4 linked regions of the Coturnix japonica genome follow. The main gene of each other region encodes a partner of the protein of the gene in region 3 in a complex. Links are inferred from orthologs where the notes say so. Each region holds a gene or a part of one and is shown on either strand. Other genes may lie near its edges.

Region 1 (4,030 bases), on a different chromosome or scaffold from region 3:
CCTGCCACAAAGACAGGCTTTTACCTTGTGTATTTAGGGGCATCCCATGTGTTCCCACATATATACAGACATACCGCACCTTGTAAGGTCACCCTGTGTTCCCCTCCCAGCCCCAATTATACCCCACAGTCTCTCCCCACCCCAGTGATCGATGCCAATCCCATGTTGTCCCTGCAGCCCCCATGACGTGTCACATCATTCCATTCCCTTGGTGACATCCCCCTGCACTAGGGACATGCTGCACGCAGCCCATGTGTCACAGTTGAGGACAATAAATTAAATGCATGCAAGTTAAGCCTTGTCCCTGTGTTTGAATGCCTGGGGGTGGGAATGTATGGGGCCCTATGGGTTGGGTGCAGAGGAGCACTTGAACACCTGAGTTCCTGCTAGGTAGTAGGGGGATGAGGGCATACCCAGCCCAGGCACACGTTTATTGGGGTCATGCTGGATTAAGTCACACATTGATCATTCCAAAGTTTATAAATCATTACAGCCTAAACTTTGCAGCTTCCAAACCTCTGATTTATTAAACCTGTATTGATAACCATCTGGATTTGTCAGATATGCCAGGTATTAGTAATGGAGGTAAGACAAAAGTATCCCTTAAGAACTGGCTGCAAGACATGGATGAGACGAGAGATATAGGCATGAACATCAAAATCAGGTGATATGTGGAAATCCAGTTAGAATGGTCTTTGCAGGGCAGGCAGCTGCCAAGGAAAGGTGACAGATGTGATGCTGCAGGAGCTGAACAACAGTGGCATCACCCAGGGGCTGACTGAGCTCTTCCAGGTCTGGGTGCTGCAGGGTCTATATGTGCGGTGGGATGTGTCATCCAGAGCAGCCTGGTGGATGTGCTGTCAGTGAAATACTCATTTTACCTCCAAGACCAGCCAGAATGGTGACAAAACACTGGTTAAAAGTTATCTGGAATGTCTGTTGGGAAGTCCCAAGGATCCCAAAGCAGGGCAGATCTAGAAAGGCGCTGAACAAGTCTGTCAATCACATTGATTTAGTTCAGTAAAACTACGCAAGAACCAAGATCAAGTCCCAGCTTTGGACACAAGATAGTAGAGGATGAAGAAAACAACAACCAGTCCTACAGAAACAAAGCAGAGTAACTTGCGGTTCTCCCTCCCAGAGCGTGTCATGGTGCTGAATCGCTTCATGCTGCCGGTCAGCAGCCCAGTAGCACTCAGAAAATCCGAATCCTAGAGGAGAAACAAAGTGCAAAAAGCAGCATTTCAAACTGGAGAGGCAGCCCATGAGGAGGGTCCAGCTTCCTGCTTAAAGAACAACTGCAGCAGCTGCGCTGTAACTGCCTGTATCTCTGTACCTATCGTGTCTCTCTTATGAGGAACTTCCCTGCCTGCGCTCGTGGCAAAGGCACAGGTAAATACTGCATACCAAGTATCTCTACATAAAGCTAGCACCGTTAATGCCTGCCAGGGCAGGCTAAAAAGCACCAAAACCACGCAGTTTCTTTCCATTAGTTCTCTTTTTTTTCTTTCAGCATGGGGCAGCATACACTTGTAACACCACCAGGTGGCAGCAAACAAGTCTTAAAGCAATTCATTATCATTTCGACTCCACGTCTGTTTTCCTTTCTCATAAACTACCTCCCACTTTTTGCTCACGTTTCTCCTGAAATATCCCTAAATCTTCTCTAATAGAAGCACAATTGCGTGCTGATTCGGGGCTTCTCCTTTAAGATCTCTTGTCTTTACATCTCTCATTCCAACTCTCCACTCTTTTGATTTCTAGGCTGAACAAATATCCAGTTCAGATACTCCAAGGCCATACACTGCTATTAAGGTTCCAAGCTATTAAGCTTCCAAGCTCCCACCTTTGACCAAACTGGTCCCAACATTGAAATTCATGCTTTTTACCCTTCTTTTTTGGTTCCTTACCATGCTATCCAGGTAACGGTTCTGTTCATCAGCATCTTTATCAATATCCAGAGCCAGCTACACAGCATAAGAGAGGAAATTGACGTTAATGAACACCAAGACAACCTGGAACGCATCTAGGCCCACACTAGAGGATGTGGTGGAGGTTTGTTAAGCACAGCCACAAAACAAGGCCTCTCACTCACTGCAGTTTGGGGTTGTGGGAATCCTTTTGCTGTGGAAATAATCTGGGAAAGCTGGCAGAAACTTCCCTATGTTGGACATATGACAACAGCTGACGGACCAGCACTGCCTCCTACTGCTACACGTCAGCCATCGTATGCCCACAGCACTGAGGAAGCCCACACAACTGCGTTGTCCCTGAGACCCTGCAAGCGTCCATAGCAGCGCCAGCAACTCACCGACTTCAGCCTGGTGACTTTGCTGGCCAGGTTGTCTGTCATGCGCTTGTTCTCCACGTCCAGCATATCCTCCATAGCAACCGCATTCTGTCCTGAGGAGAAAAGAAACGCGTCTCATCATCCCGACTGGGGAGCATGGCACATCCCCAAGATGGCGGCGGGGTGCCCCAAGATGGCGGCGGGGCGCCCCCTTTAGCAGCCCCTCAGCGCGCCCCTCACTCCTTCCCCCTCACCTCGCCCCCAGTCCGCCATGGCGGCACACGGCGAAAGGCGGCTCCGCCCGGCAGGAGGAGCTCCGCCTCTGTAAAATGGCCGCTGGGCCTTCGCCTTCCCTGTTGGGTAGTGAGGAGCGGGGAGCTATTACGGGAAGCACCGTGATCTGCTGCGGTAATCCTCGGGTGGGGAGGGGGGGGTGTCCCAGCGCTGTGCTGGGAGGGCATGCATTAAACGTCGGAAAGCAAAGAGGAAAGAAGAGGATTAGAGGGGCAGAGAGGCTGTACGTGGTTCACCCGTCTGCTTTATGGACGCAGCAGTGAGCCGGCTCGCTTGATTTTTGTTTCTTTTTCCCCACCCCCTTTCTCACTGCCTCTCAGTTCTCAAGGATCGAGGTCCCTTTGCACCGCTGTTATCCAGGAGCTCTGGAAGCCTTTCCTCTCTGCTTCCCATCCTGCTGTAGCTGAGCTGTTGGTATCATGGAGCTCAGGACCGTAGTGGCCACGGTGGAAAGCGGGGAGCAAGACGCGGTCCTCAAGGTGCTTCAGATCTACAACCAGGAGGTGAGTGAGCATCACACCTCAGCCTGATGTCACCTGCTGCTGTCAGCAAGCCTGGAAGCAGGTTGGGCCGTGTTATGGGTTCACAGTGCTGCCCAGCTATCCCATCTCCTCTGAGCATCTGTCTCTGCATTATTGCCCTGGAGATGTCATAGACTGCTTTGTTTTGTTACTTGCAAGCTGCTTCTTAATGATGCTTTACTAGGAAGCAGCTAAGAAGCCTCCCTTTATCTTGTTTATGCTGGAAGAAAAGTACATGGGAAGGATTTTCTTTATTATCCAGATTGCAAGTTAAACCCGGTAGGGGAATAATCATGGGCATGAGGAGTAGGAGGAGCCTTGATGCTAGGCAAGGTTTGGAGGTAATAAAACTCACACCTAGGGAGGAGCTGCAGGTAGGATTGTTGTGATTTGTAAGCAAAAGACAATTAGGAGTTGGTGTGAATGGATGCTGGGATTGGATTAGGGTGCCTGATCTGAAAGCTGGCGCATGAAATAATGAGTGTAGAACATGAAAAAGACCGGGTCAGGAAGCTGAAGTGCGAGTGACTCTAACCTTAGATCATCTGCAGGGGTAGTTCCCTTTTGAAACTGTCTGCCAGGGAAATTTCCTTCAGAGGGTTTCCACCAGGCTAGGGCTGGCCCTGCAGATCTGTGACTCATTCTGCACCATTCTGAAGTAGGAGGGAAGCTGGTGGGGAAAACCTGTGCTTATCTTACAAGCATGTGCACTTCCCTTCCTGCACTAACTGTTTCCAGCAGTCGGTTTTGAAACAGCAGGTCCCTTTTAAAAGGTTGGTCTGCAGGATTAGCGTTGCTGGCAGCAGCTGGTGTGCTGGAGAAATTAGGATAGTAAATGGCATTTGTTGTGCAACCGTGTTGAGGCACTAAATCCAATGCTTTGAATTCCTCCAGCTGGTTTCTTTGTCAGCGTGTAGAGCATAGG
Region 2 (3,995 bases), on a different chromosome or scaffold from region 3:
AAAGACCTTGAAGATCAAGTCCAACAGCAGCCTAACCATAGTACCCTAACTCTAACAACCCTTTGCTAAATCATATCCCTGAGCACCATATCCAAACGGCTCTTAAACACATCCAAGGATGGCAATTCAACCTCCTCCCTGGGGAGCCTATTCCAGTACTTAAATACCCTCTCTGTAAAGAAGTGCTTCCTAATATCCAACCTAAACTTGCCCTGGTGCAACTTGAGGCCATATTCAGGTTTTATTGAGGTTTTATTCAGGGCTATTCTAGACCTGGCAACTGCATGTCCTATCCTATTAAAAAGGTTAATACAGTAAGCAGGTCTTTTCCAATCTTGGTGATTCTTTGATTCGGGTTATTTTATTTTTTTAACTGACATTTTCAACAAGAAAAGAAGGAATACTTGATCCAGTAATTAACTGGAAATTGGCAGGTGGTCTTGAAAAATACAATATTGTTGGATTATTAAAGATGTTTGTATAACTGAAAAAAGTCTGAGTGCTAATACTGACATTCTGGTTTCTCTGGCAAGAGAACAAAGCAGACCCAGCTTTCACTTGACTGTCTCCTTTTCACATGTAAAGGCAAATTAAACAGTGCTATAACTGGGGCTGTGTGTTAGTTGCTAGTAGGGACCAGGCTAGTAGGCACCACATTTTTCTCCACTGTTTTTAGCATTTTGAATATTTCTTGGTCTTCTAAAAACTCAGATGTAATTCACTGTGTTCTGAAGCCACTAACTTGAACATGGGGATTTTTCCTGCTCATTATAGAGGACGAAACAGCACAACCAAACATATTCTTGATGTGAATATGGGCCTATTATATGGACTAAAAAATGAAATAAAATATAAAAGAATTGATCATTCTACAGAATACAGAGAAAGAAGTTATATGAAGAACAGATGTTGTAGCCCCACGAATCTGGCATTCTTACGCGTTCAACAGCTTCAATCACAGACATTCTATCATTCTGAAATCCTGCATTTAAAGGCTCAGAAACTATTAACCTTTCAAATTTTCCCTTCTCAAGGACATGCTTTCAGATACTGCTTTTGAAGAATTTAACTTGTAGCACTTAAATTTTCTAGCTGTTTGCAAGAACATTAAAAACCAGATAATCTCCCTAACAAAACAGAAAAAAAAAAAAGTAATAACTTTTGGTTGGAATCAAGCCCGTTGTGAGATTCAGCTTTGCCACTCATTGCATTTCTCTTAATAAGCAGTATCAACCTTAATTTCATTTCTGTAACACATACTGAACAGTCAGCAGTGATTAAATCTCATCCCTTCAATATTCTCAAATAAGTATATATTTGACAGATGATCTTCCTAATAGCTTGTACTTGCCATAAAAAGTAAAGCAGATGGCTTAAATAAGATTGTCTAAGACAGTGCAAGTGCCAACCTGTTGGTATAAGACTACGGTAAAGCTGAGAACAAGTGTCACATAAGCTGGTCCTATGTGATATCTGTACTGGTTATATATTGGTATCAAATCAGATACCAAAACCAAGTTATTATGCAAGTCTATAGAAGTGTGATTGAAACAATCTTTAATACCCACATTCACTGAATGCAAAATTGTTCTGTCAAACTATTAGTCCAAGGACAATAACCAAAATTGTTTTTGTTGACCAAAATGCACTAATACCCAAACAGTAAATTCTAACAGCATTTCATAAATGTGAAGCAATGGAACGTCCATCACTGTATCATTGGTTTCTTAAGGGCCAAAGGTTCCTTGCCATCCCTTGCTCAGCCCTACACTAGCACGTGTGTTCTGGAAGTCTGTCTCCTCATAGAGAATCACAGAGCACACTGAGCAGGCTGTTCCTCCCAGCTTTTCCAAATCACAGAATGCCTTAGGTTGGAAGAGACCTTAAAGATCACCCAGCTCCAATCCCCTCCCCATCCATGGGCAGGGCTGACACCCACTTGAGCAGGCAGCCCAGCCAACCTGGCCTTGAACCCCTCCAATGTGCATTCCAGTGCCTGATTAAGGGCCTTACTCAAACCGTGCTCTGACACCACTATCCCCCCTCCGCACCCTTTGCTCAGTACGGGGGTAAAGAACCTGCAACAAGTTTACAATCATACTTAGTAATATTATTAACGCTGATCAGCCTCCAATTCAGCAATTCCTTCGCCTCTCAGTGCTTGTCTCTCCAAGCTGTATGACACCCCAGTTCATACGGACCCGGCATATACGGACCCGCCATACCGTGTGACACAAGAAACAGATGTGCAATAAGGCACAACTCGGCACTACAAAGACTCGCCCACTCGTTCCGGAGCCGACCTACATGGCAGCCCAGGGCTCGTGGGCACCGAGGGGACGCGGCCATGGAAGCCCGGATCCCCAGCCTGGAGTTACGGGAGCCGGGTGCGGGGGGTGGGGCTGGGATCCCTCCGGCCGCCACATCAGCTCCGGCTCCCGGCCCACATCCGCCTGGGGCCAGCGCTGCCCCGACTCTCTCTGCGGCCCTTCAGGAGCCACTCTCTCGCCCCGGCTCCCCGGGGAGGGCTGCCCGCCGCCTTCCCCCTGCCCCGGCCGCCCGCTGCCCGCACTCACCACCTCCCGTGCCCGCCCGGTGAAGTCGCTCCTAGAGCGGGCAGCGCTGCGCTTGAGCAGCTCATCCCGAGCGCTGTCGCCAGCCGCCACCCCCAGCGCCTTATTGCGGGTCTTCACCGTCTTCACGCTGGCTTTGAAGAGCAGGGTGATGTCCACCGCCATGGCGGCCAGCCCGGCCCCGTCCACCGGTGCCTCCGCGTTTTGCCTTCCCCGAGCAACGCGGCCCCGCGCAGCGCGTTCCGCTCGGTCGGCTCCAGGGATGGGTGCGGTGGGAAGGGAGCATCGCGGTGTTGCTGTGCGGGGATCCTGCTCTGCTGCCTCCCATCGCGGAGCGAAAGATTGAGGAATAAAATCTATATTCCAGCCAAATTCTGACGTGTGGATCGCCGAGCTGTGGTGTCGCGGCAGGTGTCACCAGGTGGTGCTGTTAGACAGAGTCATCCAAGCCGTCGGCCTTGGAATTCAGTCTAGGAAAGAAGGGTTAATTGGAGTTGATTAATGGGCTTCAGCAGGTTTGCACCAGGGGATGGGTTTTGTGCTGCTGTGAAATTTCCATTGGAGATGGCCGTACGTGTATTAATATATTGATTATTGGTTATTTCATAGAATCATTGAGGTTGGAAAGGACCCTTAAAGGCCATCTAGTCCAGCTCCCCTGCAATGAACAGAGACACCTACAGCTCCATCAAGTTGCTCAGAGCCTGTTCCAGCCTGAGCTTAAGTGTCCCCAGGGATGGGACAGCCACCACATTTCTGGGCAACCTCTACCAGTGCCTGACCACCCTCACTGTAAAAGATTTTTTCCCTATATCCAATCTAAATCTCCCTTATTTTAGTTTGAAATCATTTCCCCTTGTTCTTTCACAACAGATACTGCTAAAGAGTCTGTCTCCTTTCTTACAGCTCCCATTTAGATACTGACAGGCCACCCTCAGGTCTCCCCCAGGGCCTTCTCTTCTATAGGCTGAACAGCCCCAGCTCTCTCAGCCTGTCCTCATGTGTTCATGTAGGCCCACAGCTTGAGTCTTTCTGGGTCTCTCTGGAGTGCTATGTTTCTTCTTGAACACAATAGATAGAACAACTTCAATACACCTGTAATGTGTGTAGTGATTTCTGTGCCTGTTAAGGCCCTTGAGATCTACTGCCATTCCACATTTGGTCAGTATCACTGGTACTCCAAGGACAAACCCTGCAGGGAGCTACAATGCACAGCTATTATTAATTTGACTGAATCAGAGGAAAGCTTTCTGAAATACCCTTTGCTATTATTTTAGTTGTGGCAATTTCATTACCATGTGCTGTGCAGAAGATAAGTGACTGGAAAGGAAACTGTGTGGCACAGCAGTGAAAACTTCTGACCAAATAACTAGTGGTGGTAGTGAGTGTATGCTATATTATACTTTAGGATCCCACAGACTT
Region 3 (4,200 bases):
AACATGCTACTTTTGTATGAACAAACTGGGCCCAGCTGCCATCCTCAGATGGGGTCAGGAAACCCCCAGAAGAGGGTGAAGGTTGTGGCATTGATCCCAGCCCTTACACTGCTCTCTCTTCTGCTCAACAGCACAGCTAGTGAGAGGCCAAGAGTACAGAGAGCCAAATGGTTCATGAATCACTGATTTTGAGAGGTCACTTGATTTATCTTCTTAGGAGTCTAAGCCAAATAACTGACTAAAGTCTTGGTTTCACAGTCCCTGATGCACAGCGGACAGAACAAGTGACCTCGGGTTCAAGTCACTCAACTGCCTTGTCTCTTAGTCATCCCAGCTGGAGACGGGGTGAAAACAGCCTTCCTACTCAGACTGTTTTCTCTACATATGGACTTGTACCTGTGCTCTTTACTCCTCTGTTGCCAAACGCATGTCAGGACAGTAGCACAGAGTAATATCATACACACTGCTAACTCTGTGAGAATTCACACCCCTTCCACAACTGCTTTCATATAAAATTGAGTTCTACAAACATTAAACAAGAACTCCAGCAAAAAAAACTTCATGCAACATACAACAGTATTTCTGTTCAAATGTTAGAGGAGATCTGCTGAACAACCCCTGAATTACCATCAGAGCAAGCTCTCCTAATGCAATGTGTATTTCCACCATGCTCTGCATCATGACAGCTTGGCTCCCCTCACCCTAACAGAACAGTTGAAAGGTTCTTCAGCCATGCAACCCACACCCCAAAGCCCAGCTCCATCTGTACCCAGGGTCTGCACAGTCTCCTCGCTCTGCTGGACTTGCTGTGACATCATCCTACTGATGCTCATCAGACTCTCCGTGATGTTACTTGCACTTTCTGCCAGACTTTCCTTTGTAGTCTTCCTGAAAAAGCAAAAGAAGAAAACACTCAGGGATAGAACAGTGTCTTTGGTACAGCAGGAACGCGCAGCTGTGCTCTGTGTACAAAAGATACAAGCAAGTTTTACTGCATGAGAACTGGAGATAATCTTTGCTGAACTACTGAAGAGAAATCACCAATTACTGAAGCCATCAACCTGAACAACTGCGGCTCAGAGTCTCACAGAGCTCATGCTGTAGCAGTCATTCAGCCACGATGGCACAGCTTCATAAGGTGACATGGAAGCACTGATACAAACTACCATTTCATCTCCTCAGCTATCCTCCTTGCTGCTCCACAACACCAACCTTGTCAACTTCTCCATTCAGGAGTTATACAAACTTATATCCACATCTACAAAGGAAAACAACTTGCACAGTGATCCACTACTTGCTTATGACCCTGGCAGGAATTAATAAAAAAGAAAATCACAAAAGTTATGAGGCCTACCACAATTTCACCTCTGCTTTGACATGCAAACACTAAAAAAGCCCTGGAATTATGACAATTCTTCACAGTTTAAGCCTTCATAATTAGACAACAGCATTCCATTACAATAAAAGCTATAAAAGCTACTTTCTGAGTACAATCCAATCACTTCAAGCACATCACATTGCTTTCATTGGTACTAGTGAGTATGGCAACATTGTTTAAGTCTCACATCATTCAAGGGGACACTTTAATACCTTTGTCTTAAGGAGTCTCTTCCCTGCAGCAGCTGATCTTTCTCAGAGTTGTCGATAGCGATTTTGCAAGCCAGATTTGCTTTTCTCCAAGCTGCCTGATTGCTGAAATCACAAGAGCACAATGTTGCAGTGCGATGGCAACACCCTGTAAGCAGAAATCACTTTCACAGAGCAGTCACCATAACTAAGATCCATGTATGCACATAGACTTTCTCTGCATTATACCACTGAGTGACAGTATGTTGTTCTTTCATTTCCTAAGTGTATCATTCCAGGCTTAGTCACTCAAACGGACAGACCTGCTCAGAGAGCCAGGAAGGAGATGGGAGCCCTCCTCTTTCTGTCCCTGATCACAGAATCACTTGGGTTGGAAGGGGCCCTTTAAAAGCCATCTGGTCCAACCCCCTGCAATGAATAGGGACTCCCACAGTTCTAGAGCCCCTCCAGTTCTGACCTTGGGTGTCTGCAGGGATGGGGAACAACCACTTCTCTGGGTAACCTGTGCCAGGACCTGCTCTTGGTCTTAATAAAGGCAGCACCGTGTCACTGACTGGGTCTGCTAAAGAGGAACTGAAAGAGCACCCTGAAGGCAGCTACCTCTGAGGACTGGGTGCACCTGTACACAACACAGCCTACAAAACACGGCCTACCTGAGCATTTGCTTTTTATGGTTCTCCACTTCCTGCAGCAAGGCCTGTTTCTCCGACTCTTTATCTTGCTCCCTCGCCATCTGTTCCAGCTCCTTGGACAAAAAAACGGGAATAATATCAGGCTGACCGCTGCCACCTGCAGCTCCAAGGGAAGGGAGCGGAGCTGCAGCGGCCCCGAGGGGAGCCCAGGGGGGCTTCAAGCAGCACAACCCCACCTGGATGCGGCCTCGGAGGTGCCGGAATTTCTCCTTCACCGCAGCGTTGAGCTCCGTGAGGGCGCTGAGCGGCCCCGGGCAATCCCGGATATCCTGGAAGACAACGGCACGGCCTAAAGCACTACGTGGCAAGCAGGGCCAAGCAGCGGGAGCCTCGCAACCCGCACCGAAGGGTTCCTTCGTCTAAAGGGGGCTCCGAGGGCGGCTCTACCTGCACGGCCGCCTTGATCTCCAGGTCGAATTTGACGATCTCCTGGTGACACACCCGCACAGGCACCGAGCCGGCCGCCGCCATCTTGGGAATGGAAAGGCGGGACATGGAGCGCCCCCTGCTGGCCCCCACAGCCCGCCCGTCATCCAGTGTGTGGAAATAGGAAAGGCCTCAGGCCCCCACAGGATCCATCCCACAACACAACACACAAACACACGCGATGATTTCAGACAGTGTTTCCTCCACGATTTTTATTTTAAATTACAAAGGATGTCGCGTACATTGATGAAATTTTGAGTCTGAATAGAAGTTGCGAGGGACCGAGGAGGTGTGTGGGGAACAGGGAACAAAGTCAATGGTGGGATTGTGCCTCTTTTCAATAAAATAAAAATAAAAATAAAGATCGCACAGCTATTAACCAACATCTAACAGCGCAGCTCTGAACAGATCATGCTTTGAACAGGAGAGTTTATTTCCTAACAGAGACACGACTTTCATGGAGTTTCTCTGAGCTCCCATTGGAAGCCAGTGATGGAGGATGCCATGTTTTGCCTTTTCCACCCTCGTGCCATCAGCCTTCGTGTTCACCCGAGCACAGATACCGAACAATGAAGTTTGAGGTCACTTCTCAAAGGAGAAAGTACAATATGAAAGATCAGTACAATTAAATGCTACTCCCGGGGTCAGTTCTTAATTGAGAGGTTTTCCCTCGGGTGGATTGTGCTTTTGTCAATACAAAATCCAGCACAGAAAGTTTTCCTTCCTGTAGATGGATAAACACCCAAACTTGACTTATCCAGACATGGAATGAGCAACTACCCGCAGGGAAGCATTGGAACACTGGTGTTATCCAAAAAGCCTTTCATTTTTATGAAGAAAGATTGTGGCTTAAGATAGTTCTGGTTCCACTTTTAGCTCCTCTGCTCATTAGAAAGACAACAAATGCACTGCCAGCATTTAGTCCTGTGGAAGTTCACGGATGTCTACGAGGCTGAGGGCTGTAAAACAATGCACACACATGCCTTTGCTACATGTGAGGAGCACTGGGGAAAAACACGGCACGTTGTGAAATGGAAATCAGACAGAGATTGAGATACTTTTGTATATTGCAAAGAAGATAGAGCCTAAAAGTGCCATCTTTCATTAACGACACGTAGGAGTCCCAATTTGTATTGGGAGATATTCAAGAGTGGTGTTTTCTCAACGTACTAATGCCCTTAATACAGTTACAAAAAGAATCAGTCACCAAAGCAGTAACTGAAATGTACTTCACACGATCCCTGGGGTAAACAAAACAGATTTCAGCTCTGTGCATGGCTGTGTCAGGAAGCCAAGACCACATCTAGCAGCACACTGAACACGGGAAGTCCAACTGAAGCCTCCGAAATAACAACGATTAGATGCATTCTTGAAATTCAGGTCTCAAGGCCAAACACAGACCCTAACATTCATGGTACACAACTGGTTACGCCTCAACAGAACCTCAGGAAGACTAGCAAGCAAGTCAGAGGAACAGAATGGCATCTGCTATTTC
Region 4 (4,034 bases), on a different chromosome or scaffold from region 3:
TCATAATCACAGAAGCTTTAAATACAGTTTCTATCAGATGCTCACACTCTGTTCATTTTCTGTGGAAAAGATTCCGTATTTCATATCCCCTTGACTTCCAGGGCCCAGTCCCAAATCTGTGCTTCTCATCTCCCTCTGGAACATGGAGAGGTCCCTTCTGTATGCCCGGATTTTGCTCATCATTTGATTGCGGAATGGTAGAGGAGCATACTTCAGTTCTTCTTCCATTTCCCGGAGCTTAAAGAAAAGAACACTTATTTTAAAGCATCACATTCATTCTTATAAACAGCTGTACCCAGAACTTACACTAGATGAAGGGATTCACATATTATGTTCACATAAGAACATTAAAGTAAAACTTGGGATACTGTCCTTTCTAGGGCAATCAACATATTAAGTGGCCAGAAAGGCCACAATTCCAGGCTTAAACTTACCGTTTCATTTGCTTCACGCTGCTTCTCATCAAACTCCCGAATCAGCTTTTTCTTCTCCTCTGCACAAGAAAGAGCAACACGTGAGATAAACCCCAACAAAACTAAAGCAGAACTTGAAATCCTGATTTCCAGCAAATCGGGTTTTTGCATCCTAGCAGTTCACTAAAAACAACCACTCAAATAAGACAAGCACCCTGCAGAGCTCTGAGATGGAAGACACCATCAATACACCAGATCAGGTTGTCCAAATACTTCTCTTTTCTGGAACCACACTGGATGTTAGATCAAAACACCTAAAACCAGCTCATCTTATGGATGTGCCGTGGCCACACCAGGGCCCTTCCCTTTCAGTTCAAATCCCCATTAAGCCCCTGAGTTTGACTTGTAGTGCACTTAAGATAGATAAGTTTAAACATAAGTTTAGCGCTGCAGGAAATGCTGATTTATGGGGTTCCTACATTGACTATCCTCAGCTCCTCCCCTGCTTTTCTGCCACGTACATTTGTGCTGATTCAACTGCTTGAACAGCCAGGCTGCTAGCAAGGACACGGGCACACACAGCAAGGAAACAACTTTCTAAAGTCACCATTCTGCTCACGCAGGACACTCCACTCCTTTGGTGAATGTAGTGCCCTCTTAGAACAACTGCTGCTGTCTCGAACCCATTGAAACCCGAAGCAGTGCTGAAAAAGCAGTATTTTACCCTCTTTGGGTGCCCACAATTGGATCAGTACAGCACTGCACTTCAGCCACAGAAACATTACCCACATGTTTCTCAGCATCTGTGAGATCTCATTTAAACCAACCGAAAAACAATCAGTTGAAAAAGGCAGTTAACTGTTTACTCAGAGAATGGGATCTATAGCAGAAACTGATCAATGCCATTTAAAATGCTTTCTTATAGGTTTGGAAGGAAGAAAACACTTGCTTCCAGACCTGAGAATTTATTAGCTTGTAAGATAACATTTCCACATGGAAGATGGTCCAACAATGACACATTTTGTCCTCCCTGCAGTCTGGGAAGTTACCAATCATCTCAAAGGAGTACACAGGACACCATCTGTTGTCCCACAGACTTTTCATGACAGTGTGAAAAATGAAGACCCATGTGGGCATGGACAGCAAAGAATGCCTTACAAATGCCTTCAAAAGAGAGATAAATTCCTGACTTCACATGAACTCCCTTGTTATACTTCCTTGGGAATATCACAGATCTGGGGACCTGGCAATAGTTTACTTTTGTCCACAAAACTGACAACCCTCCTTTCTGCAAGGAAATTTCTGTTCTTTGAAATTCAAGCGTTGTGGGGCATTTTTCAATATGTGTGAGCACGGTCTCTCCCCATTCTTTCCCCAGCAACAGGGTTGAGTTTGTATTTCAAGGCAGCAAAATAACCCTCACCCTACCCTGCAACCTCCTCCCATTAATTGTATAGAAACGATGCCCAGATTCCAGGGCCCTTCTTCACAAAGGGGCATCCCTTCCTTTATGCTTTTCCTTCTTGGTGACTGTCAATAAAACAAAGGCAGCTTTGAATCACAGAACTGCAGGGTTTGGAAAGGACCCCAGGGGATCACCCTGTCCAACCCACTGTTAAAGCCAGTTCCCTGCAGGTCACCAAGGAAAGCATCCAGGAGGGTCCTGAATATCACTGGAGGAGACTCCACAGCTTCTGTGAGCAGCCTGCTCTGCCTTCTGGCCTTGAAAGCTGCGGCCCATAGTTTTAAGTGCCTCCCACTGTACTTTCTGGAAACGAATAGGATGGTGACCCTGCATTTAACCCGGTATTAGACTGAACCGGGCAGCCCGGACACCGCACCCCTCACACCCAGCCGGTGCTTCCCCGCCTCCGCGCCCACTTCCCGTTCTCCGCTACGCCACAGCCGAGCGCTGTGCGCCGGGAGCGGAGCCAAACGAGCCCCTCGGCTCGGGCAGCGCCGGGCCGGACCGCGGGGCCTCGCCGCGCTGCGGGAGAAACCTCCGCGAACCCGACGAAAGCGCCGAGCCGGATCCGCCCCGCCTCACCCGCCGCGCCGCCCCGCAGCCGCTCCGGCACGGCGCGCAGCTCCCCGTGCAGCCCGCGGAAGATCTCGTGCAGCCGCTCCAGGTGCTCGGAGGACGCGGGGCCGCGCTCCGCCATGGCGATGGGCCGTACGGGGCACTGCCCGGCGCCGCTTCCGCCATCGGCCGCGAGGACCCGCGCCTGCGCAATGAGACGCCCCGCGCTGCCTGACCGCGGCACCGGGGCAGCCCAGGCGGAGCGGGGTCCTGGCGGCGCGCTGCCCGCTGGGAGCCGTAGTCGCAGCGCCGCCTCGTGGTGCTCCGCCCCGCCCCGCCCTGCACCGCCCATTGCTCCCATTGGGGCGGGGCGGCTCCTCCGGGCGCGATCAGTGCGGGGCGGACGCGGCGCGGATGGAGCCGTCGGCGATGCTGAGCTGCTGGGGCGCGGTGCTGGGCGCCGCCGTGTCCGTGCCCCTCGTGCTGCTGGCGGCGGCGCCCTACGTCAGGTGCGGGGCTGTGGGGCGCCTCGGGGGGCTCCGTGCCGCCGGGCTAAGCGGCTCCTTTCTGGGGGTTGGAGACATACAAAGGGCTTTCGGGCAGCGCTGTTACGGCGGTGTGCGGTTGGCGGCAGCCGGCTCGAGCCGCTCCCGCGGGGGGTCCGGCTCAGCCGAGCACGGGGCGGTGGGAGCCGGTGGCCCGGGTTCGCCCCACGGCGCCGCGCCGACTCCATTGGCCGCCGCGCCGGGAGCCGCGCTGTCAGCCAATGGCAGCCGTGGCCCCACCGGAGCGGGCGGAGCGGGCGGAGCGGGGTGTCGCGGTGCCCGGTCCGATGTCGGGCTCGGAGCCGCCGTCGAGTCCCGCCGCTCTCTTGCAGGCGGTACGTGGCCGGAGGGCGCTGCGGGTCCGCGGCCAGGCTGGACGGGAAGGTGGCGGTGATCACGGGCGCCAACACCGGCATCGGCAAAGAGACCGCCAGGGAGCTCGCCCGGAGAGGCAAGTCGGCGTCACGCTGCGAGCGGGTGCGGCTGATGCGATCCGGCACCACGCGTCGTGGTCTGCAGCCTGGGGCCGTGTTTCTAAGAGCCACATTCTGAAGGTCCTTCAGACAGGGCTGTAACCCCTGAGGTGCAGTTCCCCAGTTCCCAGCTGCATTCACTGCTTGAACCCTGACCCCGTGTCTCAGCGTGTAGAAATACTCAGCGCTGTGGCCACCTCGGGAGGACCAAGGAAGTGCCTGGAGTCACAGGGCTCTACCTTGTTTGGGGATGGGAAATGGCTCAGATCCGCTCATGGTTCAAAACTGGCTTAAATGTTTTTTGGTAACTAGCAGGGCAGTGAAAGTACCCAGCAATGGCTCTGGCTGGAGTCCAAGCAACCCTGCGTGTGTAGGCCCTAGTGCTCCCATACAGCCACAAATACAACCTGGTCATACCAGGGCTGCAGTGCACTCACCTCACCTGGGAGAAGCTGGACAGAGGCACTTCAGATGTGCAATCTCCCTGTCATAAAACAGGTCTGAGCTGGCTTGGAGCTAACAATCTACAACAAGAGTTGTTGTGCTTGTCAGCTGCTCCCCTGGACTGAAGTCAGTTCCATAG

The links. The genes of interacting proteins can lie anywhere in the genome.
Region 1: BNIP1 (region 3) and BET1L share a complex: the UniProt entries of both Homo sapiens proteins name them as parts of the SNARE complex. The link is inferred for Coturnix japonica from reciprocal best matches to the Homo sapiens genes BNIP1 and BET1L.
Region 2: BNIP1 (region 3) and STX18 share a complex: the UniProt entries of both Homo sapiens proteins name them as parts of the SNARE complex. The link is inferred for Coturnix japonica from reciprocal best matches to the Homo sapiens genes BNIP1 and STX18.
Region 4: BNIP1 (region 3) and VTI1B share a complex: the UniProt entries of both Homo sapiens proteins name them as parts of the SNARE complex. The link is inferred for Coturnix japonica from reciprocal best matches to the Homo sapiens genes BNIP1 and VTI1B.

The regions. Positions count from the first base shown.
Region 1 is NC_029520.1:1,401,932-1,405,961, reverse strand, and holds BET1L (BET1-like protein), read right to left. Parts: upstream 2,688-4,030; 5' UTR 2,564-2,687; coding exon 2,545-2,563; intron 2,404-2,544; coding exon 2,312-2,403; intron 1,968-2,311; coding exon 1,911-1,967; intron 1,212-1,910; coding exon 1,044-1,211; 3' UTR 501-1,043; downstream 1-500. Other genes in the region: RIC8A (synembryn-A), read left to right, coding at 3,004-3,087. UniProt on the Homo sapiens protein: Vesicle SNARE required for targeting and fusion of retrograde transport vesicles with the Golgi complex. Required for the integrity of the Golgi complex.
Region 2 is NC_029519.1:71,390,344-71,394,338, forward strand, and holds the start of STX18 (syntaxin-18), read right to left. Parts: upstream 2,801-3,995; 5' UTR 2,739-2,800; coding exon 2,577-2,738; intron 1-2,576. UniProt on the Homo sapiens protein: Syntaxin that may be involved in targeting and fusion of Golgi-derived retrograde transport vesicles with the ER.
Region 3 is NC_029528.1:11,061,596-11,065,795, reverse strand, and holds the start of BNIP1 (vesicle transport protein SEC20), read right to left. Parts: upstream 2,801-4,200; 5' UTR 2,775-2,800; coding exon 2,667-2,774; intron 2,549-2,666; coding exon 2,241-2,548; intron 1,693-2,240; coding exon 1,591-1,692; intron 889-1,590; coding exon 770-888; intron 1-769. UniProt on the Homo sapiens protein: As part of a SNARE complex may be involved in endoplasmic reticulum membranes fusion and be required for the maintenance of endoplasmic reticulum organization. Also plays a role in apoptosis.
Region 4 is NC_029520.1:27,588,993-27,593,026, reverse strand, and holds the start of VTI1B (vesicle transport through interaction with t-SNAREs homolog 1B), read right to left. Parts: upstream 2,801-4,034; 5' UTR 2,795-2,800; coding exon 2,461-2,794; intron 494-2,460; coding exon 435-493; intron 238-434; coding exon 46-237; intron 1-45. Other genes in the region: retinol dehydrogenase 12, read left to right, coding at 2,848-2,942, 3,311-3,429. UniProt on the Homo sapiens protein: V-SNARE that mediates vesicle transport pathways through interactions with t-SNAREs on the target membrane. These interactions are proposed to mediate aspects of the specificity of vesicle trafficking and to promote fusion of the lipid bilayers.